Linked DNA regions of Stegostoma tigrinum. The protein of the gene in region 2 purifies or fractionates together with the protein of the main gene of each other region. This does not show direct contact. Links are inferred from orthologs where the notes say so. Each region holds a gene or a part of one and is shown on either strand. Other genes may lie near its edges.

What was found.
Region 1: the proteins of sf3b1 (region 2) and prpf8 purify together in Homo sapiens (affinity purification with mass spectrometry; 5 studies listed by BioGRID and IntAct, with this or other methods). This does not show direct contact. The link is inferred for Stegostoma tigrinum from reciprocal best matches to the Homo sapiens genes SF3B1 and PRPF8.
Region 3: the proteins of sf3b1 (region 2) and snrnp200 purify together in Homo sapiens (co-immunoprecipitation; 4 studies listed by BioGRID and IntAct, with this or other methods). This does not show direct contact. The link is inferred for Stegostoma tigrinum from reciprocal best matches to the Homo sapiens genes SF3B1 and SNRNP200.
Region 4: the proteins of sf3b1 (region 2) and prpf4 purify together in Homo sapiens (co-immunoprecipitation; 3 studies listed by BioGRID and IntAct, with this or other methods). This does not show direct contact. The link is inferred for Stegostoma tigrinum from reciprocal best matches to the Homo sapiens genes SF3B1 and PRPF4.

Annotation. Positions count from the first base shown.
Region 1 is NC_081380.1:24,517,614-24,525,618, reverse strand, and holds the start of prpf8 (pre-mRNA-processing-splicing factor 8), read right to left. Parts: upstream 3,014-8,005; 5' UTR 2,888-3,013; intron 1-2,887. UniProt on the Homo sapiens protein: Plays a role in pre-mRNA splicing as core component of precatalytic, catalytic and postcatalytic spliceosomal complexes, both of the predominant U2-type spliceosome and the minor U12-type spliceosome.
Region 2 is NC_081360.1:31,792,653-31,799,964, reverse strand, and holds the start of sf3b1 (splicing factor 3B subunit 1), read right to left. Parts: upstream 3,001-7,312; 5' UTR 2,931-3,000; coding exon 2,903-2,930; intron 1-2,902. UniProt on the Homo sapiens protein: Component of the 17S U2 SnRNP complex of the spliceosome, a large ribonucleoprotein complex that removes introns from transcribed pre-mRNAs.
Region 3 is NC_081393.1:10,285,777-10,292,744, reverse strand, and holds the start of snrnp200 (U5 small nuclear ribonucleoprotein 200 kDa helicase), read right to left. Parts: upstream 3,017-6,968; 5' UTR 2,930-3,016; coding exon 2,885-2,929; intron 2,121-2,884; coding exon 1,957-2,120; intron 1,124-1,956; coding exon 952-1,123; intron 126-951; coding exon 1-125. UniProt on the Homo sapiens protein: Catalyzes the ATP-dependent unwinding of U4/U6 RNA duplices, an essential step in the assembly of a catalytically active spliceosome. Plays a role in pre-mRNA splicing as a core component of precatalytic, catalytic and postcatalytic spliceosomal complexes.
Region 4 is NC_081382.1:5,538,332-5,546,156, forward strand, and holds the start of prpf4 (U4/U6 small nuclear ribonucleoprotein Prp4), read right to left. Parts: upstream 3,014-7,825; 5' UTR 2,514-3,013; coding exon 2,362-2,513; intron 1,372-2,361; coding exon 1,187-1,371; intron 1-1,186. Other genes in the region: anaphase-promoting complex subunit CDC26, read left to right, coding at 3,320-3,400. UniProt on the Homo sapiens protein: Plays a role in pre-mRNA splicing as component of the U4/U6-U5 tri-snRNP complex that is involved in spliceosome assembly, and as component of the precatalytic spliceosome (spliceosome B complex).

The DNA.
Region 1 (8,005 bases), on a different chromosome or scaffold from region 2:
GAATTAAACCGGCTCTGATTACATATAAATACGGTCACATATATTGACATCCAAATCTCATATTCACACAACTTGAGCTGCAATCCACAACAGTAGATCAGAGGATTGAAAAAAATTTTCCATTTTTAGCAGATGCTTTTGATCCATAACATTTCACCCAGATAAATACATTTAGTATGCTAAACGTTTTGCCCTATTATCTTAATGCATACCCGTGGATGTACATGCAATAAACTGCTTTAATAAAGCATTCAACATCTGTATATTCAATTGTTTGCACTTGAAACATCCATTTTGAGACTTTCTTTGAATGTTTTTGAATATACAAATTGGGAGTCAGACTTTTAGATAATATTTTGTAAAAATAAAATCAACATTTCTCATGGAACACTGATGTTCAAGTTACTATGTCAGCTTCAGTTGCTCAGATTTTGAAATGAGCCAAAAGATTAAGGAATTGCCTTTCAAAATGGAACATGAATTCATAATCCCATATGACAGTCATGTCGAACAAAGCATAAAAACCTGGAGCAAACATCATGCTCCCTTGCATAGCTTGAACTGATACACGCAACTCTTTTGGTGCTCTCAGCAAGAGACTTCTCTTGACCAATCCCAAAAAAAAGTTTATTTTTCTCATTGTGTTGTTTTAGATTTTGGTACAGAATGGCTGATGCATTTATTAATGTACACATGCTCTCTGAAATGATAGATAAAACTAATGAAGTCAGATTATTTTAAACAACACCATGCAAACCTTAACCATATTACAAAACCCAAGCTTCTCTAAAAATACTGCCTGGCCAAGTGACAGCATTTCAGTAATCTTCGATTCCCAGAATCAGCAACTTCTATACCAAACATGACCTGCATCAAATTTTGATGTCAACACACACCAACTCCCTAAGGACCAAGCACGTTTTTGGGCAACAGTCGTAATATTTCAGAACTCTGCAGCAAGTGGAAAATCTTGTCTATGGCTATTCAGTAGCTCAACCTTTGGAAGAAAATGGAACATCCAGGATTTTGACAAGATTGTCTAGCATTATAGAACATAGAACATAGAACAGTACAGCACAGAACAGGCCCTTCAGCCCACGATGTTGTGCTGACTTCTTGGAGAAGTTATGATAAACAAGTTACATTTCCAAATAAACAGATAACAAGGTATAGAGCGGGATGAACACAGCAGGCCAAACAGCATCATAGGAGCACGAAAGCTGACGTCTCGGGCCCAGACCCCACATACCAAAACCAACATGTGTGACCATCTGACTGAGATCCAGATCATTACCCTCTAGGTCATAATCTTGGAACTGCCTTTCTACCAGCACTGAAGGTATCCCTATACCCAATGACTGCAGCAATTCATAAAGGCAGCTCAACTCCACCTTCTCCAGATCAATTAGTGATGGACAATAAAAATGCTAGCCTAGTCAGCAACACCTAAACCCCATCAATTACATTTAAAAATGTACACTTGAAAGTGGGATTTAAATCTATGCCTAAAATGTTATTAAGTTTTACAATCATAAAATACAGGAGGAGGCAATCCATGCAATTGTTTGAGAGAGCTGGGTATAGATTGTGACAAAAGATCAGCCTGACATATAACTTTTTGTAATCATTATGCTGCCTAACCCATTGCCAGCATCCACAGAAGTTTTTTGTACCAATGAGTCCCACTTGCTCCCAAAATTCTTCTTTTTCTCCTCTCCCTTATTAAGATTCCCTTTGAGATACAGGCTCAAATTTGCCTGCATCCTCCTTGTGAATAGTCTTACAGATTATGCTACATTGGTCTAAAATATATTTAGCAAGAAATATGTGCAGTATTAATCCTGTTGAATAATAAACTATGCAAACAGATCACGTTATGCTCTTCTGGAGTGAACGCTGGGGTTGATGGAAGAGAAGTTAGTGGACAAAGGGGAAGAAAATTTACACTTCCGTTGAATGGTAGAACCTAAGGAAATACCCAGGATCACGGGAACCTTGGTATGCAAGTCCATATATTCATGTAGGCAGCAGGTCAGATGTTATGAATGATATCAGGTATGTATCTTTATTATTCAAAGTATTGAATACAACAGGAAGGTGGCTATAATGGAGTCATACATATATATATTAGTAAATTATTATACATATTAACCAGAATATTTGAGAAACCCCTCAGCTATGAAGATAGACTAGATAGGCAGGAGTTGTTTTCCTTATAGCAGCGAAGGCTGATTGGGGAACCGTGATCGCGGTGTATGAAAGTTGAGGGACGTAGGGAGAAACACAAGCCCTTAATAGAGACATCAATAACTAGGGGGCACAGATTCAAGTTAAGGATCTGGAGGCTGAAAGGGAATTTAAGGAAAAAGTTTCATCCGCCCAGAGTGTGATGGGTACCTGGAAGGCACTGGCTAAATGATGGTCGAGGCAGGAACCATCAAGACATTCAAGAAGCATTTAGTCGAGCATTTGAAACGCCATCGCACACAAGGCTACGGGCCAAATGCTGGAAAACAGGATTGCAGTGAATAGATAATGAAATGTGAGGCTGGATGAACACAGCAGGCCCAGCAGCATCTCAGGAGCACAAAAGCTGACGTTTCGGGCCTAGACCCTTCATCCTAGACGTGGGATGCACAGACACGAACAGCCCTTCTTCCGTGCTATTAAAAAGAAAACCCTACGATTTCTCCTGGAAGGTTCCAGTCCAGCGAGTCCATATTTGAGGTGTCCTGGACCGATTCCTCCCTCGCCTGCCGAGCGCCACAATAGAAACCCATTAGGCCGCACGCCGAGCCGAGTCCCTGGGGCTCAACCTCCACTCACTTCCAGCCTAAATCCCGACCCATATGCCCAGAGCGCACAGAAATGCCTACGCTGAACGCACCTGCGACGACAGGAAAAAATGCGAGCGACGATTTTTTTTTCTCCCCGTTGGCCTTGCGTTAGGCCTCAGGGCCTCGGCGCCATTAACTCCGCCAGCAAAAGTGGCTCCAGCGCAGGGTGCCCGGATGCTGAGGGCGGGATTTCCGCTGTCCGTGTGAGCCTCCCATTGGTCAGTCAGTCGGATTGATGACCGCTACAGCCACTCAGAACACAGAACTCTCCAGGTAGACTTTTGAAAACAAGTGCATTGAAAGAAGATTAAATCAGACTTTACAGTGAAGTGCACAATGATTGTGCTACCACCTGAAAATAGGAAAAAGAGTTTAAAAAAAAGCTGGATTCCGTGTCAACTGTTTCAATTAAGAAACATCAGTGCACAACCAAGGCAATGTTGAACATTTATCTTAACAAAAAATGTCTCAGATACTATACAGGGGTGTATTGGACACTCAGTTCAAACATGAATACATGATAGGAACAGGAGGTGCGACCAAAAGCTTAGGGAGATGATAAAAATAGATCTTGAAGGAACTAGGAAAAGCAAAGAGATTAAAATCGGAAATTCCAGAGTGCAGTAGCAGGTTGGCTGAAAGTTCTAAGTAAGGGTCACTGGACCCTAAACATTAACCCTATTTTCTCCTTCACAGATGGTGCCAGGCCTGCTGAGCTTTTCCAGCAACTTTGTTTTTGTGGATGAAAGCAGAGCTACCTTGCTGCAGCTAAGAGTGGAGGAATACACAAAAGATCAGAATTAAAGGAATGGCGATGTTGAAGGGAATTGTAGGATTGGAAAAGTTTACGGAAATCAAGATGGACAAGGGATTGATTGGAATTTTAAATTGGATGCATTAATGCGCATACAGTAAATTACATTGAATTTTGATAAGGTCCCATAAGAGCTTAGCTTGTAGAATTAAAGCACATTGGATAGGGGGTAGTGTACTGTGGTAGTGTTTGGCTGACAGGAAACAAGATAACAAAGTGTGTAGCTGGATGAACACAGCAGGCCAAGCAGTATCTCAGGAGCACAAAAGCTGACATTTCGGGCCTAGACCCTTCATCAGACAGGGGGACGGGAGAGGGTTCTGAACTAAATAGGGAGAGAGGGGGAGGCCGACCGAAGATGGATAGAGGAGAAAATAGGTGGAGAGGAGAGAATAGGTGGTGAGGTGGGGAGGGGATAGGTCAGTCCAGGGAGGACAGACAGGTCAAGGAGGCGGGATGAGATTGGTAGGTGGGAAATGGAGGTGCAGCTTGAGGTGGGAGGAGGGGATACGTGAGTGGAAGAACAGGTTAGGGAGGTGGGGACGAGCTGGGCTGGTTTTGTGATGCAGTGGGGGGAGGGGACGAGCTGGGCTGGTTGTGGGATGCATTTGGGGAGGGGGAGATTTTGAAGCTTGTGAAGTCCACAGTGATACCATTGGGCTGCAGGATTCCCAAGCGGAATATGAGTTGCTGTTCCTGCAACCTTCGAGTGGCATCATTGTGGCACTGTCGTCTAAGGAATGGGAGGAGGAGTTAAAATGGTTCGCGACTGGGAGGTGTAGTTGTTTATTGCGAACCGAGCAGAGGCATTCTGCAAAGCAGTCCCCCAAGCCTCCGCTTGGTTTCCCCAATGTAGAGGAAGCCACACCGGGTACAGTGGATACAGTATACCACATTGGCAGATGTGCAGGTGAACATCTCCTTAATATGGAAAGTCACCTTGGGGCCTGGGATGGGGGTGAGGGAGGAGGTGTGGGGGCAAGTGTAGCACTTCCTGCGGTTGCAGGGGAAGGTGCCGGCAGTGGCAGAGAAACATGGGCCTTTTTCCAAGTGGAAGGCAATTACTAATGAGCTACCACAGGATCCTGTGCTGGGACCTCAACTATTCACAATGTAAAGGAATGAGGAATCTACATATAATGTCTTCAGATTTATACAGGACACAAAGCTGAATTGGGGAGTGAAATGTGAGGAGAATGCAGAAATACTCCAATGTGATTTGGACAAGTTGAGTGAATGGGCAAATGCATAACAGATTAAGTATAATGTGGATAAATGTGAAGTTATTAACTTTGGTAGCAAAACTAGGAAGGCAGATTATGATCCAAATAACAATAGATAGAACATTGAACATGACAGTGCAGTACAGGCCCTTTGGCCCTCAATGTTGTGCCAACCTGTGAAACCAATCTGAAGACCATCTAACCTACACTATTCCATTATCATCCATATCAATCCCATTCCGGGATTATGATGTTTCAGTAAGAACAGAGAAGATGGTAAAAGGGGGGGGAGGTGTGGCATTGTTGATCAAGGACAGTATTACAGTTGCAGAAAGGATGTTTGGGGACTCGTCAACTGAGGTAGTATGGGCTGAGGTTAGAAACAGGAAAGGAGAGGTCACCCTGTTGGGAGTTTTCTACAGGCCTCCGAATAGTTCCAGATATGTAGAGGAAAGGATAGCAAAGATGATTCTCAATAGGAGTGAGAGAGACAGGGTAGTTTTCATGGGGGACTTCAACTTCCCAAATATTGACTGGGAACACTATAGTTCGAGTACTATAAACGGGTCAGTTTTTGTCCAGTGTGTGCAGTAGGGCTTCCTGACACAGTATGTAGATAGGCCTTCAAGGGGCGAAGCCACATTTGATTTGGTACTGGGAGTAGGTGAGCACTTTGGTGATAGCGATCACAATTCTGTTATGTTTACTTTAGTGATGGAAAGGGATAGGTGTATACCACTGGGCAAGAGTTATAGCTGGGGGAAAGGCAATTGCAATGAGATAAGGCAAGATTTAGGGAGCAGAGGATGGGGAAGGAAACTGCAGGGGGTGGGCACATTAGAAATGTGGAGCCTATTCAAGGAATAGCTCCTGTGTGTCCTAGATAAGTATGTACCTGTCAGGCAGGGAGGAAGCTGTAGAGTGTGGGAGCTGTGGTTTACGAAGGAAGTGGAATCTCTGGTCAAGAGGAAGAAGAAGGCTTATGTTAGGATGAGATGTGAAGGCTCAGTTAGGGCGCTTGAGGGCTACGAGGTAGCCAGGAAAGACCGAAAGAGAGAGCTCAGAATAGCCAGGAGGAGACATGAGACGTTGTTGGCGGATAGGATCAGGGAAAACCCTAAGGCTTTCTATAGGTATTTAAAGAATAAAAGAATGACGAAAGTAAGATTAGGGCCAATCAAGGATAGTAGTAGTAAGTTGTGTGTGGAGTCAGAGGAGATAGGGGAAACACGAAATAAATATTTTTCGACAGTATTCCCTCTAGAAAACGACAATGTTGTTGAGGATAATACTGAGATACAGGCTACAAGACAAGGTGGGATTGAGGTTCACAAGGAAGAGGTATTAGAAATCCTACAGAGTGTGAAGATAGATAAGTCTCCTGGGCCGGATGGGATTTATCCTAGGATCCTCTGGGAGGCCAGGGAGGAGATTGCCGAGCCTTTGGCATTGATCTTTAACTCGTCGTTGTCTACAGGAATACTGCCAGACGACTGGAGGATAGCAAATGTGGTTCCCCTGTTCAAGAAGGGGAGCAGAGACAATGCTGGTAATTATAGACCAGTGAGCCTTACCTCAGTTATTGGTAAAGTGTTGGAAAAGGTTATAAGAGATAGGATTTATAATCATCTAGAAAAGAATAAATTGATTAGGGATAGTCAGCACCGTTTTGTGAAGGGTAGGTCGTGCCTCACAAACCTTATTGAGTTCTTTGAGAAGGTGACCAGACAGGTAGATGAGATTGAACTGGTTGATGTGGTGTATATGGATTTCAGCAAGGCATTCGATAAGGTTCCCCACAGTAGGCTATTGAACAAAATGCGGATGAATGGGATTGTGGGAGATATAGCAGTTTGGATCGGAAATTGGCTTGCTGAAAGAAGACAGAGGGTGGTAGTTGATGGGAAATGTTCATCCTGGAGACCAGTTACTAGTTGTGTACCGCAAGGGTCGGTGTTGGGTCCACTGCTGTTTGTCATTTTTATAAATGACCTGGATGAGGGCGTGGAAGGATGGGTTCGTAAATTTGCAGACGACACTAAGGTCGGTGGAGTTGTGGATAGTGACGAAGAACGCTGTAGGTTGCAGAGAGACATAGATAAGCTGCAGAGCTGGGCTGAGAGGTGGTAAGTGGAGTTTAATGCAGACAAGTGTGAGGTGATGCACTTTGGTAGGAGTAACCGGAAGGCAAAGTACTGGGCTAATGGTAAGATTCTTGGTAGTGTAGATTAGCAGAGAGATCTCGGTGTCCATGTACACAGATCCTTCAAAGTTGCCACCCAGGTTGACAGGGCTGTTAAGAGGGCATACAGTGTTTTAGCTTTTATTAATAGAGGGGTCGAGTTCCGGAACCAAGAGGTTATGCTGCAGCTGTACAAAATTCTGGGTGCGGCCACACTTGGAGTATTGTGTACAGTTCTGGTCACCGCATTATAAGAAGGATGTGGAAGCTTTGGAAAGGGTGCAGAGGAGATTTACTAGGATGTTGCCTGGTATGGTGAGAAGGTCTTACGAGGAAAGGCTGATGGACTTGAGGCTGTTTTCGTTAGAGAGAAGAAGGTTGAGAGGTGACTCAATTGAAACATATAAAATAAGCAGAGGGTTAGATAGGGTGGATAGGGAGAGCCCTTTTCCTAGGGTGGTGACGGCGAGCACGAGGGGGCATAGCTTTAAATTGAGGGGTGAAAGATATAGGTCAGATGTCAGAGGTCGTTTCTTTACTCAGAGAGTAGTAAGGGACTGAAACACTTTGCCTGCAACGCTAGTAGATTTGCCAACTTAAGTACATTTAAGTCATCATTGGACAAGCATATGGACGTACATGGAATAGTACAGGTTAGATGGGCTTCAGATTGGTATGACAGGTCGGCACAACATCGAGGGCTGAAGGGCCTGTACTGTGCTGTAATGTTCTATGTTCTATATGTTTATCCAATGACCATTTAAATGCCCTTAAAGTTGGCGAGTCTACTACTGTTGCAGGCAGAGTATTCCACACCCCTACTACTCTCTGAGTAAAGAACCTACCTCTGACATCTGTCCTATATCTATCACCCCTCAATTTAAAGCTATGTCCCCTTGTGCTAGACATCACCATCCTAGGAAAAAGGCTCTCATTGTCCACACTATCT
Region 2 (7,312 bases):
TCAAAAAGGTGAGTTTGCTCGCAGATTAAGTCACGGTTTCACCCAAAAACTAACAAAGTCCAAACAAAATCCTAAACGTAGTCCCCAAAAACACGTACCCCAGTTGAGTTCCTAGCCAGTTGCTGCAGTACAGCTAAAATAGTGCCATTGACCAAACATGGAAAATTGCCTAATATATCCGGTTTATTAAAAGCAGGACATGACAATCTCACGACTACACTTTCAGTAACAGGAGACTGATGAAGGTACCATCAGCAGCTTGTATGATTTGACAGCAATGAGTCCTGTGAAGCACAAGATTCCAGGTTCAAAGTCCACTCCAAGATTTGAGCACAAAAATCATGGCTTGACACTCCAATCCAAGCCTGAAGAAGTCACAGTCAGAGGTGGCATTCTTCAGGTGAGAAATTACACTGTGGCCCCAGTTGTTTAATTGGATGAGTGTTAAAAATCCCACGGTACTATTTTGAAAAGCAGTAAGGAGGCATTCCCAACAATATTTAAGCCTCATTCAACAACACAAATTTCAAAATTATCCACCCACTATTAGTTCTTGCAAATTAATCACAAAAAAAGATAGCATCCAAGTTCAGCAAGTAATAGGGAAGGCAAATTGGAACGTTGGCTTTTATTTCAAAGAGAATGAATAAAAGTAGGGAATTTTTGGCAAAACTATGCAAGGCACTAGTTAAGACCACAACTATGAACAATGAATCAATGCACCTGACTCAGATTTGACCAAAAAAAGGGCCAGAATGGGAAGCATTATTTACAAATTAATAGAGAATGAGAAGAATTGATTACATTTTAATTAAAATTATTTATTTTGGTAAAATATATTTGTGACATTACTGCTTGCTCGTCAAGACTTGCAAACTGAAATGTTTCAGTCATGAATCCACAGAGACTGTCAATGCCCAGTGTCAAGAAAGTAATTCAGTTGTAAAATAAAAGGTTGTATTATGGCATACTTGAAAATAAAACTCCAGAAGTCAGTATGAATTATGCTACAATTAATAGCACAATATTGGTATCTCAACAGATAGGATTTTGATAATGCAGATTTTGAAAGTATTGAGAATTACTGACACCACAGACTATAGGTTTAAATATCATCCAAAGGCAGTTCACAAAATCCAGAAAACTTACGAATTCCAAAGTTTATCTGTGATCATTTAAATGTTTATAATAAACATCAAGATACTGTGACACTTCAAATTAGACTTTGCAAGTAACTAATATGCCTAATGGTTGCATAAAAATAAAAGAAAACCATTTCTGTCTCAATCTTGTACTAAAGCAAACTTTTCTGGATTATGAGAATCAGAAAACTGAACTATCTGGATGATTTTGAGTTGATTAATGAGAGATTTATCACGTGATTTCTTGGAAAAAGTCAAGGAACACCGAGCTTTTCCACGCTTACTGAAAAAGCAAACAAATTTGGAAAACGCAAACTTCATTGAGGAGTTCAAGGTTAGGGGGCAAAAGTTTAGGGTGAAAGGTTGAATGATTTAAAAGGGATCTGAGATGCAACTTTTTCCACAAGAGTGTAGTGCATTTATAGAATGAACTGTCATGGAAAATGGTAATGTAAATACAGTTATAGCAGGCATATGAATAGGTAAGGTTGAGGGTTATGGGCCAAATCCAGACAAGTGGAACTTGTTTGGGAAGCCTGGTCAGCAATTTCCCATACTTAAAAAAGGTCAATGGATCTGAAACGTTAATTCTGATTTCTGTCCACAGATACTGCCAGACGTGTTGAGTTTCTCTGGCAATTTCTGTTTTTGAATAAACTGGAATCTCATTTGCATTTCATGAAGAAAATTCATACTGTACTTGACTTGAAACGTTAATTCAACCTTTCGGCTGGCGAAAGAAACTGTATTCCAAACACATTCTGCTGTTAGATTTAGTATTTTTCCTTCACGGTAAAATAAAGCAACGATGCCCAACACTATTCATAAGTCATGGTGGCTTTACGAAATGTTGATCAAACGGTTATTCGTTTACTTTATAAACATTTTGTTTTAATGTTTGGATGCGTTAGCACCGTCGCTTAAGGTCTAAAAACGTTGGCGATTTGACAAATCGCCACAGAGCTACGGGAACTTGTGTTAAGCATCCTCAATGCAGCAAGAATTAGGATGCATTTTAAAAATCCAGGACACAGCAACCCAGGCATTGTAAACCACGCACGAAACAGAACAGCGATATGAATGCCAAAATAAGTTGGCTAGTTAGGTGCTTAATTCAAAGACATTGACACCATGACTCTTCCTCACTATCGACAATGCCACTCTTCAGACCATCCACTAGGAAAACACGTGAGCACCGCTATCAACACTTCGTTCCCCATGTAGAGAAACAGATTGGGTTGGAACCAGATCTACCTTCTCAGCAAACTCCACATTAAATCCGGCCACTCTGCAATGATGCAGGCAGTCGCTTTCTTTTTCGATGCTGGCGGCGGATCGTCGTTATTGACAAGGCCGCAGGCAGACTGCGTCAATCAGCCTGCCCGACTCCAACCGCCACAAAACTCAAGCCAACGAAAACCCAACTAAGATCGCGCGTCGTGAAGGCACCCGAACTAAGACAGTACCCCCACCGCCGCCCATTTCGAGAACTGGTCGGTGGAACGGGAGTGTCGGGGTCGCTCGGTCGCTTCTGGCGCCTCTTCCCTCGGCCCTCATTTACGCTCTCAGGAGCGACGCCATTTCCTGACCCAGCCAAGCGCTCGTTCATCAGAACTGCAGCCACATTTCCTACAGCTCACAACCGGAGGAACTACGGACACAGCCTACGGAAACATTCTTGTGACCTCCATTCCGCCCATGTTTTAATTTTAGAAAAAAACTGATAAAAACACCGTCCGACATAATCCCCCCTCAATTACCTTCGTGAGTCTTGGCGATCTTCGCCATTTTGTACAACGGTTGCGAGCGGAACCCGCGATGCTGTGGGTGGGCCCGGGATTTGATTGACAGCAGCTCCTCTGCCCCGGTAGCACCAATGCTCAAAAGTCTGAGCTCACTCTAGGCAGCGCTGTTATTCTCCAAGGGATGTCTATGCCACAAATCAAGGGATGACAGACAAATCACTCCTGTTAACAAAATAAATTGCCAATGTCATGTTGAAAATTGTTTTCTTCTCTTTGTGGATGCCTCACTTCAAACTGCTTTGCAATATTCTTTGGTTTGTTTGAGAATTTCATAGGATATAAAGGAGACAGTCAGTTTTTTGCTGTCACATAGGTGGAATTATTTTTCAACTGTGTAGAGCATGGTGTTGAAACCCATTCTACCTGTGACTTCGTAACACAAGTTTGAAGTTTTCTAATGTTTCTGTAATCATAAAGTGGATGAATGGCACATGAAATTTAATGCACACAAATGTAAAGCACAAACCATTAAACAGAAACTCTACACAATATGGTAAACTGGGAGGTGTAACCACAGCTTATGAATATTTTTTAGCAACAAAAGATTCTCCTCCTTTGTGGTTGATAGGGTCCTGAACCATATCTATCCCATTTCTTACACGCTTTCCATTTCAACCAAAACCATAACAGAGTTCCCCTTGTTCTCACTTTTCACTGTGCTGGCCTCCACAATCAACAGATAATGTCTGAAAACTCCACCACAAACACATCTTCCCCTTCTCTTTCAGTATTCTGAAAGGAATTGTTTCCTCTGCAACAATCCCCAGTACCTTCCCATGAGAGCACAGAAGGTGCAACACTTAGGAGGTCATCCTCTCTTGGCCGTGACCCATGATTTCATTTTTGTCAGGTGAAAATTGGAGTTACTTGTACTTTTTTCAACTTGGTATATTGTACTTAGCAGTTGTAATGTAGTGTCCCCTACATCAGGAAGCCTAAGCACAGGTTTAGTGATCATTTTGCTGAAAAGAAGAACGTGTGATTATGTAATGTCTTCCAAAACTGAGCACTTCCCAAGGTACTTTATAATCAATCAACATCCAATCAAATTACTGTGTGACCTTTAGTTTCAGGTCACTTGCTACTTTAATCATCCATCCCTTTCTGACACTGGCCATTTTGTTTAGAGGTCTCTACAAATTTCAATGATGCTCAACACAAACATGAAGAACAACAGCTCATTTTTCAAAAGGTATCTGTTGATCCACATGCAAATCATGGGCTCTGGTGAACAGGAAAGAAATGGAGATAAGGCTACAATTGGATCAACAATGATCTCATTGCATGGTGGAGCAAGTTTGAGGTGTCTAAAAGTCTACTCATGCTGCCACATTCTCTATTATTAAAATCAACATTAATGACTTTGGATTTTAACCATCATCTCAATTTATTTATGGACAGCAGATGCTGGTAATACACAAGAATCACAGGGAGTAAAGGAGGTTGGTGCCTGAGGTAAAAATCTCCTTTACTGGCAGGGTGGTCTGCAACCCTGTTTTCTTCTTCGCATTACTAGACCCAGGAGAACTTTTTTTTGAGATATTTTCCATCCTCCTCTGCCTCTGCTATTCTGTGTAACCATTTATTTCTCTTCTAGATCCATCTTTTGTTATTTGTCCCATTATCTTTGTAATTCAATCACAAATACAAAGAAAAAGTGTGGATGTTGTAAATTTGAAATTAACACAACAAATCCTGGAAATACCCAACATTCTATTTGTGAACAAAGGAACAGGCTTATGTTTTCAGATTGATGATATTTCATTATTGAGGATTAAGTTTCACCAATTTGAACAGTTAGAATATTGATCTAGCCAAAGAAGTTGAATACAAATCAAGGGAAGCCAGGTTTGAACTCTACAGTCCTTGGGTCAGATGACTGTGAAACTACCTTACCCACTAACAACACTTGAGATAATGCAAATACAAACTATGAGGTGGATTCCTGATGTCAAAGTTTAAACAAATGGTTGAATAAAAAGGGAGTGAAAGGAATATTGCAACAGAATGGGTACAAAATCAGGATTAATTTTTGAGCAAGGAAAACCTCAACGCAAACTAGCAGATCAGAATGATTGGTTTCCATGTTGTGTTTGTGATGTCATTCATAAAAAGTATGCAAAAAGGTGAACTAACAGAGATGAATGGAAAAGCAAATAAAATATCAATATAAAATATTGTTTGCAGTTAAATTATAAGGTAAAACAAGGAGACAGGTGAAAGTTACATCAAGTGAATGGTAAATTTAGGACTGATATGAGGAAAGTCTCACACAAGGAATGATCAACATTTGAAATCAGGGGCCAATTAATATTTAGACATATTCATCTCTTTACCAAGAATCACAGCCAAATAAAGAACGCTTTTAATGTTCGCCATTATGCTGAATAACGGCATATAATTAGAACATAAAAAAGTACAGCACAGTACAGGCCCTACAGCCCACCATGTTGTGCCGTGGAATAATCCTAATCCAAAAATAAAATAACCTCACCTACATTCCACTCAATTCACTGCTGTCCATGTGCATGTCCAGCAGTCGCTTAAATGTCACTAATGACTCCGCTTCCACGACTACCACTGGCAAAGTATTCCATGCGCTCACAACTCTCTGGGTGAAGCACCTCCCTCTGACGCCTCCTCTATACCTTCCTCCTAACACCTTAAAACTATGACCCCTCCTGGCATGTAAATCCTGCCCTGGGGAAAAGTCTCTGGCTATCGACTCTATCCATGCCTCTCATTACCTTGTACACCTCGATCAGGTCACCTCTCTTCCTCCTTCTCTCCAGAGAGAAAAGTCCGAGCTCAGTCAACCTCTCCTCGTAAGACAAGCCCTCCAGTCCAGGCAGCATCCTGGTAAACCTCCTTTGCACCCTCTCCAAAGCCTCCAAATCTTTCCTATAATAGGGCAACCAGAACTGGACACAATCTTCCAAGTGTGGTCTCACCAGGCTTTTGTAGAGCTGCAGCATAACCTCGCTGCTCTTAAACTCGATCCCCCTGTTACTGAAAGCCAAAACACCATATGCTTTCATAACAACCTTATCCACCTTGGTTGCAACTTTGAGGGAGCTATGCACTTGAACACCAAGATCCCGCTGTTCCTCCACAGTGCCGAGAATCCTGCCTTTAATCCTATATTCAGCATTTAAGTTCGACCTTCCAAAATGCATCACTTTGCATTTATCCAGGTTGAAATCCATCTGCCATTTCTCAGTCCAGCTCTGCATACTGTCAATGTCTCGTTGAAGCCTGCAATAGCCCTCGATACTATCAACGGCACCTCCAACCTTTGTGTCATCAGCAAACATACTAACCCACCCCTCACCCTCCTCATCCAAGTCATTTATAAAAACTACAAAGAGCAGAGGCCCAAGAACAGAGCCCTGTGGGACACCACTCAGCACTGACATCCAGGCAGAATACTCACCATCTACAACCATTCTCTGCCTCCTGTCAGCCAACCAATTCTGAATCCAGGCAGCCAAATCACCCTGTATCCCATACCTCCTGACTTTATGAATGAGCCTGCTGTGGGGAGCCTTATCAAATGCCTTGCTGAAGTCCATGTACACCACATCCACTGCTCGACCCTCGTCAACCTGTCTCATGACTTCATCAAAGAACTCAATAAGATTTGTGAGGCATGACCTGCCCCTCACAAAGCCATGCTGACTCCCTTTAATCACGCTATGCTTTTCCAAACAGTCATAAATCCTATCCCTCAGAATTCTTTCCAAAACCTTGCTGACCACAGACTTAAGACTGACTAGTCTGTAATTTCCAGGGATTTCCCTATTCCCTCCCTTGAAAAGAGCAACGACATTTGCCTTTCTCGAATCTTCCGGTACGAGTCCCATGGAGAGTGAGGAAGCAAAGATCTTCGCCAGCGGCTTAGCAACCTCCTTTCTCACTTCCTGGAGTAACCTAGGATAAATCTGGTCTGGCCCTGGGGACTTATCAATCTTAATGTTTGCCTAAAATTTCCAGCAGATCAACTTCCTCAATCTCGATCTGTTCAAGCCTGTTTTCCTGCTCCTCAAAGTTCTCATTCACAACAAGGTCCCTTTCCTTAGTGAAAACCGAAACAAAAACTCATTTAGGGCTTCCCCTATCTGCTCAGACTCCACGCACAAGCTCCCTATGCTATCCCTGATTGGCCCTAACTTCTTCCTGATCATTCTCTTATTCCTCACGTATGAGTAAACTGCCTTCGGGTTCTCCCTAATCCTTCCTGCCAAGCCTTTTTTGTGCGCCCTCCTGGCCCTCCTCAGTCCACTTCTGAGCTCCTTCTGAGCAAGCCTGTAATCATCTAAAGCTGTGCTAGACCCTTGCTTCCTCCACCTTACGTAAGCTGCCTTT
Region 3 (6,968 bases), on a different chromosome or scaffold from region 2:
TAACGGGTATCCTCCAACTGTCCCAGGAGCATTTCTATTTCCTTCCGTCGCTCTTTGTCACGCAGTTTATCATTTTTCAGCACAGCGAGGACCTCATCTGCTGCTCCACAGAGAATATCACGTGGCTAGAAAGAAAAGCCCAATCAATATAGAAAAATTGCCAGCTAATGCAGATGCAATACGTCTCCCTGTAACAATTTATCTTCCTTGTTCAACCTCTAAAGTGATCATTGATGAATTACTGCTCACGCTGTCTATGGCACATGCATCTGTCATATGGAAGTAGGGCAGGCAAATCAGCATGTTAGCTCAGTGGTTAGCACTGCTGCCTCACACTGCCAGAGACCCGGGTTCAATTCCAGCGTTGGGCAACTGTCTGTGTACAATTTGCACATTCTCCCTGTGTCTAACTGGGTTTCCTCCAGGTGCTCCGGTTTCTGCCCAGTCCAAAGATGTGCAGGTTGAGTAGATTGGCTATGCTAAATTTCCCGAAGTGTCCAGGGATGTGCAACTAGGTAGGTTAGCCATGGGAAATGCAAGGTTAAGGGAATGGGATGGATCTCAGTGGGATGCTCTTTGGAGGGGTGGTATGGCCTCGATAAGCTGAATGGCCTACTTCCACACTGGCCGTGGTACAGAACGCCTCAAAGAGCAAGAGTCAAAGAAATCAAAGGAACGGAGTCAATCAACTTTGACTAAGTCTCAGGTACAAATCAGGTTAAAAGTAAAAGAACCTAAAGGAAGACAAATGCATGCAGTGGAAGTGCTGAAACATCAACATCCCAAGAAACAAGCCAAGACAAATGGAAACCATCCCCTTTGCATAAAGTGGCATCCTGTCTGTGATGTAGTAGATCTTAAAATTAGTTAATCATTAAAGAGATCAGTTATGTCCATCACTTTTAGTAGCAGGGGATCTGTCTGGGATATTTTTTCACTGGAGACTCTCACCTGGTCACCAAGTGCAGCCTGAATGAAACTGAGCAACACCTCGTAGGTCTCTCTGGTCTCCTTTGTTTTGGGTTTGTACACAATTCCAACCATTTCATCAATGCCCTCTGACAACAAAGTGTATCCCCTCATTTTGTTCATGTCATGTCGGTCTTCATCACGCTTTCTCCTTCTGCATGAGACAAATTCAAAACATTTTAACAGCCAAGAAATTCAAGTAAGAATTCTCACTTAACCAGAGCACAAATATATATTTGTGCACAAAACCACCAATCTAAAGGATGGGTTGAAAAGTGCCCAATCTGATTACAAATAATCTCCCCTGTGCAGAATAGGAAGCTCCAAACGACTGAAATTTGACATGCTCAACTGCAAACCTCCCTCAACTACTATTACAATGAGTAAAGAAAGCCTTGGCACTTATTCAACATTTCAGTACACCACTGAAAATGATAGACAGGAGCCGGACTGGACTAGTCGCTTTGTGGAGTGACCCTCTCTTTTGCCAATTCCCCACATCCCTCAATTCCCCGAGACACCGAAAACCTGTCTATCCTATGAATGAGTAGATACCTGTTCTGAACCTTCATGGTTCTTTTGAGTTAAGAGCAAGATATAATCTGTGGAATGTAAAGACTAGGATGTGGACTGTTGAGAAACAAATGCTTGTAAATGTTCATAATGTTGCTTACATTAAATAACACCATGCACCAAAGTCATATGTTTCCCACCATGAGGTGGAATGATTATTTTACTATCACCTCAGGTCTAAATTTCTTGTTTAATCTGACACCTTTGCTCATTGTGAAGCATTAAAATTTTTCAGTAAACCAAAATATCAAGTGCTTTGAACTGATTGACCCACCTTGTCTGTTTACCTGCATTTTACCAAAAAACATTTTATCATTCAGGATTAAACTTTTTTAGTTCATAAAGATAGCTTATTAGTATAACTCTGCTCCCAACTCCAAATAAACTGTGATATTTGACAAGATATGTCCTTACTTTGCTCGTCTTTCCTCCTGCAACTGTGGCTTTGTTCTCTGAGCTTTGTCTCCCATTCGCGACCCTTCGAGCTTTCCAACCAGAGACAGCACTTCTCCTGTGGGCTCATCTCGTCTTGTTCGGTCGATCAGTGAACGATCTGCTTGCAATACAAGGTTGGAGTTCTGCAAAAAGAATGAAGAAACTAGTCTTATTCTCATATGGAGCGGTTTGCACAAACCTGTCGGTATTGCAAGATAACAAAATGTGGAGCTGAACGAATACAGCAGGAACTTCTGTGCTCCTAAGATGCTGCTTGGCCTGCTGTGTTCATGCAGCTCCACACTTTGTAATCTTGGGATTCTCCAGCAACTGTGGTTCCCACTATCTCTGTCAGTATTGCACTTGGGTGTAAACCATGCAAAATTTCCAGTCCTTGAGCAAAGTTGGGAATTACACATATTTCCCTGTATCCCTTCCAAAATTACTGATTTTAGAGGATTTTCACGAGAAGTTGAGGGTCGATTGGCATTTCCAAAAAAAACCAGCATTCATTTTTGTCGAGAATCTGATTTCAAAATTGCCCAATACTAATTTTTTGTTGTGGGATGGAACTGGGACATAAATTGTGTACTCATTTAAGACAAAGAATGAAAATAAAAAGCCATTAGAAACAATTCGATAACAATGACAAGGGCTCTAGAGACGTGTTCCTAGGTTGCCTGGAGGTCCCTTCAATTTCCTGATTTCAGCTCAACAGAGATGCCAACCCAGTTCTTATGTCGCATTCACCACAGCAAGGGCTAGGCCTCAACCTGGCGGTGTGCTTAACAGTGGCACTGTACTCGCCCAATTCAGCTCTGGCCATGCAAGCCCGCGCACGACTGTATCCAGCCTGTCTAGGGGATCAAACCGAGGGTTATCGATCCTCAACACCGACAGCACTCACCGCTTTGTACTCATACTGCAGGCTACGAGCAGTAACATCCGCCATTGCTGCTTGGCGATGCCTCCGCCGCCGGATGGCACTCAAACCTGACCTCCGGCCGCCGCGGATTCGCCTTCCGGGTCAAAGCCCAACGGTCTCCATGGGAACGGGAAACCCGCATCGTTTCTCAACGCCAGTTTAATTTTCCCTTTGGCGACAGGTGAGTTCCTGAAACATGGCCAGTATTGTTTACTTTTTATTTATTTGTTTAATTCTGTCGCCACCGTAAACAACGGTTATCTCACCCCCTTGGAAGATAGCAACCGTTGGCTGTCTCCCGCCATTTTCGACACTTTACCCACAATTTCTTTTACCCTTCCCTCCATCTGGGGGGAGTTCGGGCAGTTAAATTGGTCCGATGCTCTTTACTGCGAGGGGCAGAAACCGGGCATCACTGCTTATCCCGCATCAGCTGGAGACTTGGCCAACTGAAGTCAGGACAGGGAAGGTTGAATAGGACGCAATGAGCTTTTTGACACCATCAGAGGGCACCACCTCACCCCAACCTGTCAAACATGAAAATAGATGCCGGCGTTTTCTGTTAGTTCAAGCTGCTAGAGTTATTCATACTGTTTGCTTCCAGGCCAAAAAAAGGCTTTTCAGTGCTGGGTTCGCCGCTTTAATCTCTCTGTTCCCTACTGCACCTCTTAATATCACTTGTCTTCTGGACGAATAATAATCTCTCCAGATCTCCCGACAGCAATTTTCTCCCTTATATTTTCCAGCGATCTCGGCTTCTTTTCTCCTGTAACATGCATAGTCTGCAAGAAAAATTTTGCTCAGTGCAGTCGTTTTGTCTTCATTCTTAAAACCGTAAGACCATTCGAAAGAGGAACAGGGGTAGGCCATTCGGCCCTCGAGTCTGCTGCGCCACTGGATGGGATCATGATTGATCTTACACTCCTCACATCCACTTTCCTGCCCTTTCCCCAAAACCCTCGATACCCCTACTGATCAAGAATGCATTTGAGCCTTAAATATAGGGTTCTATGCAACACTGGTAGTGTCCCTATTCTCTCTGCCCGGAGACCCAAGTTCACGTTCCACCTGCTCCAGTAATAACCTCTCTAACAGGTTGAGTAGAAAATCCCTCCACAAGGACTGCTGTGTGCGGCAAGGAATTCTGAAGATTTGCAACCTTTTGAGAGAAAACATTCTTGCTCAAATCAGTCTTCAGTTGCCATTCCTGTATTCTGAGACTATGCCCTCTAGTCTTTGACATTCTCATGAGAGGAGATGTCGTTGCAGGAATTACCCTGTCAAGCACTTTAAGAATCTGATATGTTTCAATGACATCACCTCTCATTCTTCTAAATTTCAGTGAGTAGCTGTGGAGGCAAAGTCATTGTGTTTCTTTAAGACAGAGATAGATTCTTGATCAGTACAGTGATCAAACGTTATGGGGAGAAGGCAGTAGAATGGATTTGAGAAACGTATCAGCCACAATTGAATGGCAGAGCAGGCACAGTGGGCTAATTCTGCTCCGATAACTTACATAATGGTGCTTCCCCACCACTGGTTCCATATCCCATGAATTTGAACCCGTTTTTCCCATACCAATCTTTGAGTCACATGTATATGACTTTAATCTCATTGATCCTGTGCCAGCGAGTTTTGAGAAGATTTGTAGGTCAGGTTGAGGTTCTGGATGTGAGTTTGCTCGCTGAGCTGGAAGGTTAGTTTTCAGACGTTTCGTCACTTTTTTATTTGAAAAAATATACTTGATTCATAAGATGTACAAAAAATAAAACATATTTACACACCTACCCAGTCATGCAAGCCGCTCCGGGTGACCCAGGGGGTACATACACCAACTAAAGGAAAAAAAAACAAAAGAAAAAATAAAGCAAAGAAAACACCCCAGCAGTCGTCACCCCCGCACAGTCCCCGTTGGCTCCCTGACCAGTTGGGGAAGGCGCCAGCTGGGCCCATTTACCAGATACGGCCCTTTTTTCTATTCTGGATGAGGGGTTTCATACTGTGGTCTTGCCCACCGCGCCTTGGCGGCGGCTGCCCCAAGCTTTAGCGCGTCCCTCAGCACGTAGTCCTGGACCTTGGAGTGCGCCAGTCTGCAACACTCGGTCGGGGTCAGTTCTTTCAGCTGGCAGACTAGCAAGTTGCGGGCAGACCAAAGAGCGTCTTTCACCGCATTGATGGTCCTCCAGGCGCAGTTGATGTTGGTCTCGGTGTGCGTCCCGGGAAACAGCCCGTAGAGCACGGAGTCCCGCGTCACGGAGCTGCTCGGGACAAACCTCGACAAACACCACTGCATCCCCCTCCAGACCTCCTGCGCATAGGCACACTCCAGAAGGAGGTGATCAACAGTCTCGTCTCCCCGGCAGCCACCTCAAGGGCAGCGTGCGGTGGCGCAGAGATTCCGGGCATGCATAAAGGATCTCACTGGCAGAGCCCCTCTCACCGCCAGCCAAGCAATGTCCTTGTGCTTGTTTGAAAGTTCTGGCGATGAGGCATTCTGCCGAACGACTTTAGCAGTCTGCGTGGGGAACCACACGACGGGATCCACCCTCTCCTTTTCCCGAAGGGTCTCGAGGATACTACGTGCTGACCGCTGCCTGACGGCCTTGTGGTCAAAGGTGTTTCTTTCAAAAATTTCTCCACGAAGGACAGGTGGTATGGAATGGTCCAACTACTCGGAGCGTTCCGCGGCAACAAGGCCAGGCCCATCCTTCGCAACACCGGGGACAGGTAGAACCTCAGTAAGTAGTGACACTTGGTGTTTGCGTACTGAGGATCTACGCACAGCTTGATGCAGCCGCACACAAAGGTAGCTGTCAGGGCGAGGGTGGCGTTCGGTACGCCCTTTCCCCCCATTTTCCAGGTCCTTGTACATGGTGTCCCTGCGGACCCGGTCCATCCTCGACCCCCAAATGAAGTGGAAGAAGGCCCGGGTGACTGCAGCGGCGCAGGTCCAGGGAATAGGCCAGGCCTGCGCCACATACAACAGTACCGAAAGCCCCTCGCACCTGACAGCCAGGTTCTTACCCACAATGGAGTGGGACTGGAGCGTCCACCTGCCCAGCTTCTGCTTCAATTTGGTGATACGCTCCTCCCAAGTCTTAGTGCACGCCCCAGCTCCACCAAACCAAACACCCAGCACCTTCAGGTAATCTGTCCTGACGGTGAAGGGGATGAAGGAGCGATCGTCCCAGTTGCTGAAAAAGATGACCTCGCTCTTACCCCTATTGACTTTGGCACCCAAGGCCAGTTCAAACTGGCCGCAGATGTCCAATAGTCTACTCACCGACCAACGATCGGTGCAGAAGACATCGTCCATGTACAGGGAGGTCTTGACCTGAAGGCCTCCGCTGCCTGGGATAGTCACGCCCTTCAGGCTCACGTCCTTCCTGATGGATGCAGCGAAGGGCTCCACACAGCACACGAACAAGGCAGGAGAGAGCGGGCAGCCCTGCCTGACTCCAGATCTAACAGGAAAACTGTCTGATTCCCACCCGTTGATCGAGACTGCGCTAACGATGTTGGCGTAGAGCAGCCGGATCCAATTGCGGATGCCCTCCCCGAACCCCAATTTGGAGAGGACGTCCCTCATGTAAGCATGAGAGACCCTGTCGAAGGCCTTCTCTCGGTCCAGGCTGACGAGGCAGTTGTCCACCCGCCTGTCCTGTACGTAGGTGATCGTATCCCTGATGAGCGCGAGGCTCTCAGCGATCTTCCTGCCTGGCACAGCACAGGTTTGGTCAGGGTGAATCACCGACTCCAGGACAGACCTGACCCGGTTGGCTATGACATTGGCCAGGATTTTGTAGTCCACATTCAATAGTGAAATGGGACGCCAATTTTTAATTTCTTCCCTCTCCCCTTTCTTCTTGTAAACGAGGGTGATGATGCCCTTCCTCATGGACTTGCACATTTCCCCTGCCCGAAGCGCACTATCGTACACCTCCAGCAGGTGCTGGCCGACCAGGTCCCACAGAGTGGAACACAGCTCGACCGGTAAGCCGTCGCTTCCAGGAGTCCTATTCCTCTCCAAGGACTTGAGGGCTCTGGTCAGCTCGTCCAGGGATAT
Region 4 (7,825 bases), on a different chromosome or scaffold from region 2:
TTACCAGTGGTAGTCGTGGAAGCAGAGTCATTAGTGACATTTAAGCGACTGCCGGACATGCACATGGACAGCAGTGAATTGAGGGGAATGTAGGTTATGTCATTTTAATTTTGGATTAGGAATATTCCACGGCACAACATCGTGGGCCGAACGGCCTGTACTGTGCAGTACTTTTCTATGTTCTGTGTTCTATCAGACATGATCTCTCAGAGCGTGGAACAAGCTCAAGGTCCTGAATTGCCTACTCCTATACCTGTGTTTATAAAAGTACACTGGCTGCTTAAACACTGGTTTTTATGGAGGCTGTGGATATCGGATTCTATTTCTTCAATATTTTAAGCAGATACTGTGCAATAAGACTCCTGAAAATGGTATACCCAGAGAATGTTACGTAGACAATGGTTCACAACGGGATACAAAATGTGACAGAGTGGTTCTGAACTGACCTTGCTGGTTTGAAACAAATGCTAGAGGCGAAAAAAAGACTTCTAAACTTAAGTGGATGGATGTAAATCATCAACTGTTTCAGAAAACGAAATGCATGTGCAAAGAAATTGTTAGCAGTCTCAGAGAATGTGGGATTTTGAAATGCAAAGCTTTGCTGTGTATTTTTTGATTTCAGCCATTCGCACGTTGTGTAGGGTAAGGGATTAATACTGTCAATAATTGTTGTCACATACGCAACTTCACACAGATAAGAGATCTATAAAATGCTCTCAACATTTGCTTTGAACAGCCTGAATATTTTCAATGCAATTTCTTTTGAAAATCTGTTAACTGTACATTCATTATTTGCAGGTATTGGGCATTAACTTGGACTTCCTTGCATCCCCACTGAAGAGTCAACATACAGCATATTTCTACGGTATCCAGAAAATCATTTAACCTTATAAGATCAGACTATCAGGCCATCGTCACTTAGCTATTTGTGTGAACTTGTTGCACATAAATTTCTTAATTACAACTGTTGCCATTTCCAGAAGTGTTTCAAACGTTATAGACTTTCTGCACTTTTGCATCCAAAATAAAGCCCAATTCATCTAAAATTGTTACTTATTGCTATTGTTCCCAACCAGCTTTCTAAAATTTCTCAGCAATCTTTTCAGCAGCTCCACATTTTTTGACTCAATCAGATGGAGTAATTATTCAATGACACAGTTAAAGAAACTGAAGCATCATCACTTACTGCTGGATATATTAATATGTCCAGCTTCTACCCCAGCTTTCACAGCTTCTTTCCCCAGGTATCCTGCATCTCCTTTGGAAATCCTCTCTTTCTCCTTCTCTTCAAGGCTTCCATAATAAATCCGAGATTTCTTAGGCAACGGAACATCATCATCATCAGACATTCTTGTAATATGGGGCAGGAAACTGTGGGTGTAGAAAATGCATAAAATTAACAAACCGTTTTGACCAGAGATAAGAGATGAGAAAGACAGGTTGTTTGACTCTAGCTCTAATCTCCAAGTACATGCATCTGCATGCTTAAATTGGGGTGTTGCTCATAGGAATTCTGGTTTTTGATGCCTTGGGAAAGAAGTTGGAACAGGAAGAACTGAACGAGTGTTGATTTCTAGCCCAGGAGAGAGAATCTTTGGATCATGCTTTTGGAGCTTCACAGGAACAAGCAGGAAATGAGAGAGAATCAAAGACAACAGAAGCATCCATGGAATAAAATCAAGAAAGGCTCTGGCAGATGAGAAAAAGGATCACAGAAAATTTGGAACTGTCTCCCCAAATCAAAAGCAATGCACCTTAGGGCAATTTGAGCTATTGAATTAATAAGATCATTATATTGTCAAAGTACCAAGAAAAGTTGAGCAAAGGTAGATCTTGGAGTTGAGGTACAGATTAGCCATAGCATGTCTGAATACATTGATTAAAAAATATCTAAATGAATAGTAAGTGCAATAGGGCTCAAAGGAGTGAATGATCTACTTCTATTCCTAACTACAGATAACAAACAAGTATCAGATGATCTCTTATAAAAAAGTGTGAAGCTGGATGAACACAGTGTGTTCATCCAGCTTCACACTTTGTTATCTTGGATTCTCCAGCATCTGCAGTTTCCATTATCACTCATCAGATGATCTCTTGTTCCTTACAGCAGAAGATGGAAATGTGAAATTATCCACTTTGGTCTGAGTGGCAAAGCTGAACATATTTCAAAAGTAAAAGCAGATGTTGACATTAAGGTGAACTTGAGGGTCATCATACCCATCTTATAAAAGATTAATTTGTAGGTATATTATAGATATTTTGCTTGGGTTTTTAAATGTTATTTGAATATTGAAAGACTAACATTTCCAAATTTGTCAATGATACCAAACTTAGAAACAGTACTAAAGATAACAATGTTACCAATTGCACAGGGTAGCACTGTCTCTCAGCGCCAGGGTCCCGAGTTTGTGGAGATTGCACGTTCTCCCTGTGTCTACACGGGTTTCTTCCGGGTGTTCTGGCTGCCTCCTACTCCAAAGAGGTGTAGGGTGGGTGGGTGCTAAATTGCCCATCAGGGATGTTCCGGTTAGGTGGGTTAGCCATGGGAGATGGGGATGATACGGGAGGGATGCTCGGTGTGGACTCGATGGGCCGAATGCTGGCACACGGTACGAATTCTATGATTCTAACTACCAGTCGGAGAATTGTAGGCCGGCAGATTGGGATTTAACAAGCGATTCATTTTGGAAGAACGGTTTGGGAGAAGGAAATAGATACTTAATGACTCAGTGCTAAAGAGCGCGCAGAGAGACGGGGAGGGGAGAGGACTTGGTGCCAACGTGCACTAAACTCTTCAGGTGGCAGCATACACAGGGCGTGATTAACCAAGCACATGGGAGTTATGAACTCCCTAAATAGAAATGTTGATGGAAAAAGCAGGGGATTTACGGTGAAGTTGAATAAAGTTATGAGCCACAAGTAGAGCATTGTGTGTGATTTCTGATACAGTACAGCCTCCCCTCCCCCACAAGCAGCCACAATGACCGACTTCTCCCCAACCTGACAATATAAAGGCCCGGTTAAGGACGGGGAGTTGACGGCAATAGCCAAGGCCTAGCTTTAGGCTATCTCCTGTCTCTATCTCTCCTTCCCCCAGCCTCAGCGCGGCCTCTTACCAGCTCCTATACCGTCGTTAAGCCGACACTGACTGCGTCCGGGGCAAAGGGTAAGGAGGCGGCGCACAGGCTGCTGGGTGTTGTAGTCATTTCCACGCCGCCGGCTCAGAAACTACATGTCCCAGTGTGCCATGCCGTGGTGACGCCAGGTGTCGCCTGTAAGGTCTGAAGCGACCAAGTTGGACGTGACTTCTAGCGGCAGAATGTTGCGGAGGAAGCCTACTCGGCTCGAACTGAAGCTGGACGATATTGAGGAGTTTGAGAGTATGAAGAAGGAGTTGGAGGTGAGTGTCAAGGTGACAGGAGTTTGGCCAGGGCTGGCGCCAGGTTCGCTCCGACAGAACCTCAGCGGGGCCTAGGCCTGGGCCTGGGCCTCACCGTCCGCCTCCAGAGCCAGACCCACCATCGCCTGGACACGGCACCGACAAAGGGACCTGGAAATCACTTCAGTCAGGCGGCAGGAGACCCGAACCACACCACCACCAACCCCCCCCTCCCCACCACCAACCCCCCCCCCACCACCACCACACACACCACATTCCCCCACCCCCCAACACATACCCCACACCCCCACACCCCACATGCACCCCTGCCACTTGCACACCCCCTGCACTTACTCCCACCACCCCCACCCTGGCACAGGCACTCACACCCAGTGCCCACCCCCCCCATACTGCTGCCACTTGCTCGCACCCCCATCCCCTGCACACGCTTTATATCCTTCCTAGAGCATCTATACATTGGAGCATTAAGCATCCTGCCCTGTCCATCCCTGAGCCACGTCTCTATAGTTGCTATGATATCCCAGTCCCATGTTCCCAACCATGCCCTCAGTTCATCTGCGTTATCTGTTAGGCCTCCTGCATTGAAATAAATGCAGTTTAATTCATCCGTAATAGCTCGTTTTCTGCTTTGTTCCTGACTGTCTGACCTGTTCCTTTTCCCATCTCTACCAGTTTTGGGGACTGTCCTCTTTTCTCACTATCTCCCTAGGAAATCTAGCAAATCTCCCCAGCAGAGTATTAGGCCCTTTCCAATTCAGCTGCAATCCATCCTTATGCAGGTCACTTGTACCCTAGAAGAGATTCCAGTGATCCAAAATTGTGGATCCTCTCCATCACCAGCTCCTCAGCCATACATTTATCTGCTGTATCCTTCTATTCCTATCCTCACTAGCTCATGGCACTGGAAGTATTCCAGATATTACTACCCTGAAGATAACAAAGTGCGGAGCTGGATGAACACAGCAGGCCAAGCAGCATCTCAGGAGCACAAAAGCTGACATTTTGGGCCTAGACCCTTCATCAGAGAGGATGCTCTCTGATGGAGGGTCTAGGCCTGAAATGTCAGCTTTTGTGCTCCTGAGATGCTGCTTGGCCTGCTGTGTTCATCCAGCTCCGCACTTTGTTGTCTTGGATTCTCCAGCATCTGCAGTTCCCATTATCACATTACTACCCTGAAGAACCTTTTTTTTAAAAAATTCCTGCCTGTCCTCTTCAGAATGATTTAAAATTAGGGATATTGAAACTGTATTAGACGTGCAGTGATATTTTGGAGGTCTCAGAATTGGAAAAGGTTATGAACGTCAGGAGGGTCCAGGCTGTGGAGGGATTTGAAAACAATAATGAAGATTTTCTATAATAAAGGTATTGTTTAACTAGTAGTCTGTGTGGGTCAGCTAGTACAAGAGGGATTGGTGAATGCTGTACGTTAGACTGCAGGCATCAGAGACTTCAGTTACCTCAAATTCAGTGTTTAGAATGTGGGAGAGCAGCGAGGAATGCATTACAATAGTCAAGTCTGAAGATAACAAGCATGGATAGGGTTTCAGCGGCAGAAGAGCTGAAGTAGTAATGGAGTCAGACATTGCAACAGAGACGGCAGTAAAACCAAGTTGCTGCAAGAGTTCAAGATAACAAAGGGTGAAGCTGGATGAACACAGCAGGCCAAGCAGCATCTCAGGAGCACAATATCGCTGCTTCCATTTAATCTTGGGTGTCAGAGTAGCAAGAAGGCAAAGTCAAGACAGTGAAGGGTTCAAGTAAGGTAGTAGTGAGATAGATGTGAAACTGATTGCCAAGGGACAGTGTACAGTGAAAAATAGAAGGGGGCCAAAGATAGATCTCTGGGGGACATCTGAGATCACTGTAGGAATGGAAAGAAGTCATTGCCAATGGTTTCCCTGGCTATGATGCAATAAGAATGGGATCAGGCCAGTCTACTCTCACCCACTGGACAACAAAGGAAAGTAATTGGAGGAAGATGGCTACCATGTTGAAAGCCACAGCCAGGATGAAGAAAGATAGTTTACCTGTGGTGTGATCACAGAAGGTGTTGTTTGTGACTTGAATAAGAGCCATTGCAGTGTTGATTGGAAGGATTCAAGTTTTGGAAAAGATGGGCACAGATTTGAGATGCCACAAACACTTCAAAGGATTTTGGAATGGGGATGGTCAGAGATAGGGCAGCAGTTTGCAAGCAGCGGGAATTAAAGGTATTTTTTTGATGAGGGAAATATGATGGCACATTTGAAGGAGAGAGGGTCAGAACCAGAAGAGATAGAACCATTAGTGGTTTTAGTTAATGTGTGAGCAAGGAAGGAAAGTTGGTGGTCAGTAATATAGTGGGAATAGGGCTGTGGGAGTACAAGATGGCTCTTACGAACAAGATGAACTCTGGTGAGCAAAGAGAGGAGAGACATTACAAAGGAAATAAATTTTGGCTGAGAAAGGGAAACCATAGATTCCACAATCACTTTTGGTAAATGTTCCTGCACCATTAGGCTCTTAATGAATATCTGGTTCATTTATTAAACTAATATGGCCTGCCTGCTTGTTGGTTCTAGTGCATATTGTTGTAAAACAACTGCCCTGAACACACTGAAGAAATGTATTGATTTTCTAACATGAGTTTATTTGCTTTGTCCAAGCTAGGTGAGTAAATTACAGGGGACAACGATGCAAGGGGGATATAGACAAGTTGTGAGTAGGCAAACATTTGACAGTTGGAATATAATGTGGGAAAATGTGAGGCTACATGCTTGGGCAGGAAGAAAAGAATATTATTTGAATGAGGAAAGACTACAGAAAGCTGCAGCACAGAGCATTTTAGGAGTCCTCGTGCATGAATCATAAAAAAATTATCAAGTTCAGCTATTAATAGTGAATGCATATGGAATGTTAGCCTTTATTTCGGGGGAGTGAAATATAGAGGGAACTCGTTAAAACTATATAAGTACTAATCGGACCACACCTAGAATGCTGTGGAACAGTTTTAGTCCCCTTATCTAAGGAAAGATATACTGGCATTGGAGACAGTCTTAAGGAGGCTCACTCGGTTGATTCCAGGTATGGAAGGATGTTCTTCTGGGAAGATGTTGAGCACGTTGAGTCTGTACTCATTTGATTTGAGGAGAATGGAAGGTGACCAAATTGAAACATACAAGATACTTTGGAGGGGGGCTTGAGAGTGTAGATGTGGAAAGCATGTCTCCCCGTAGGGGAGAATCTAGGACCAGTGAGCATAATTTCAGAATAAGGGGTCACCCATTTAAGACAGGTGAGGATTGAGCTGATCTTTCGATTTTTTAGGAATGACTCGTGCTGTGAGTTCCAATGAGTGTACCATATTTGATTTTACACAATGTCCCCTAGTAATTGACCCTTCCACCCTGCAAACAACCCTTATACTTTCCACTCTATCCATGCCGTTCACAATCTTCTAAACTTCTCTATCAGGTCGTGACTCAGCCTCCTGCATTTTAGTGAAAACAAACCCAGTCTATCCAACCTTCCTTTATAGCTAAAATCCCCTATGCCAGGCAACATCCTAGTAAGCCTTTTCTGTACCCTCTCCAAAACATCCACATCCTTCTGGTGGTGTGGTGACCAGAACAGTATGCCTAACTGAAGTTCCATAAAGCTGCAGCATAACTTGTCTATTCTTATACTCAATGCCCCTTTTAATGAAGTCAAGCATCCCATAGGCCTTTTTTACTACCTTATCTACCCTTGCTGCCACCTTCAGTGATCTGTGGACCTGCACACCCAGATCTCTCACATTCAGGGTTCTGACATTCACTGTTTAATTTCTACCTGTATGTGACGTTCCAAATTCATTGCCTCACACTTGTCTGGATTAACCTCCATCTGCTATCTTTCTGCCTCTGCCTCCAACTGATCTATATCATGCTGTATCCTTTGACAATCCTCCTATCTGTAACTCTACCAATCTTTGTATCATCTCCAAACTTACTAATAAGACTAGCCACGTATTCCTCCATATCATTTATGTGGATCACAAATAGCAGAAGTCCTAACACTGATCCCTGTGGAACACCACCACTCACAGCCCTCCATTCTGAAAAGCGTCCTTCCACCACTACCTTCTGTCTCCCATCTTGCCAGCTCATCCCTGATATGTGACTTCACTTTTTGCATCAGTCAGCCATGAGTGACCTTGTCAAAGGCCTTCTGAAGTCCATGTAGACAACATCAGCTGCTTTTCCCTTTATTAAACATCTTCGCAAGCTCCTCAAAAAAACTCAGTTAACTCGGTGACACGTGACTTCCTCCACACAAAACCATGCTGTTTATCACTAATCAGTCCATTTGCTTCTAAATGTGTATAGGTCTTGAGAATCTTTTCCAATAATTTCCCTACTGCTGACGTGAGGCTTACAAGCCTGTAATTTCCAAGATTATCCCTGT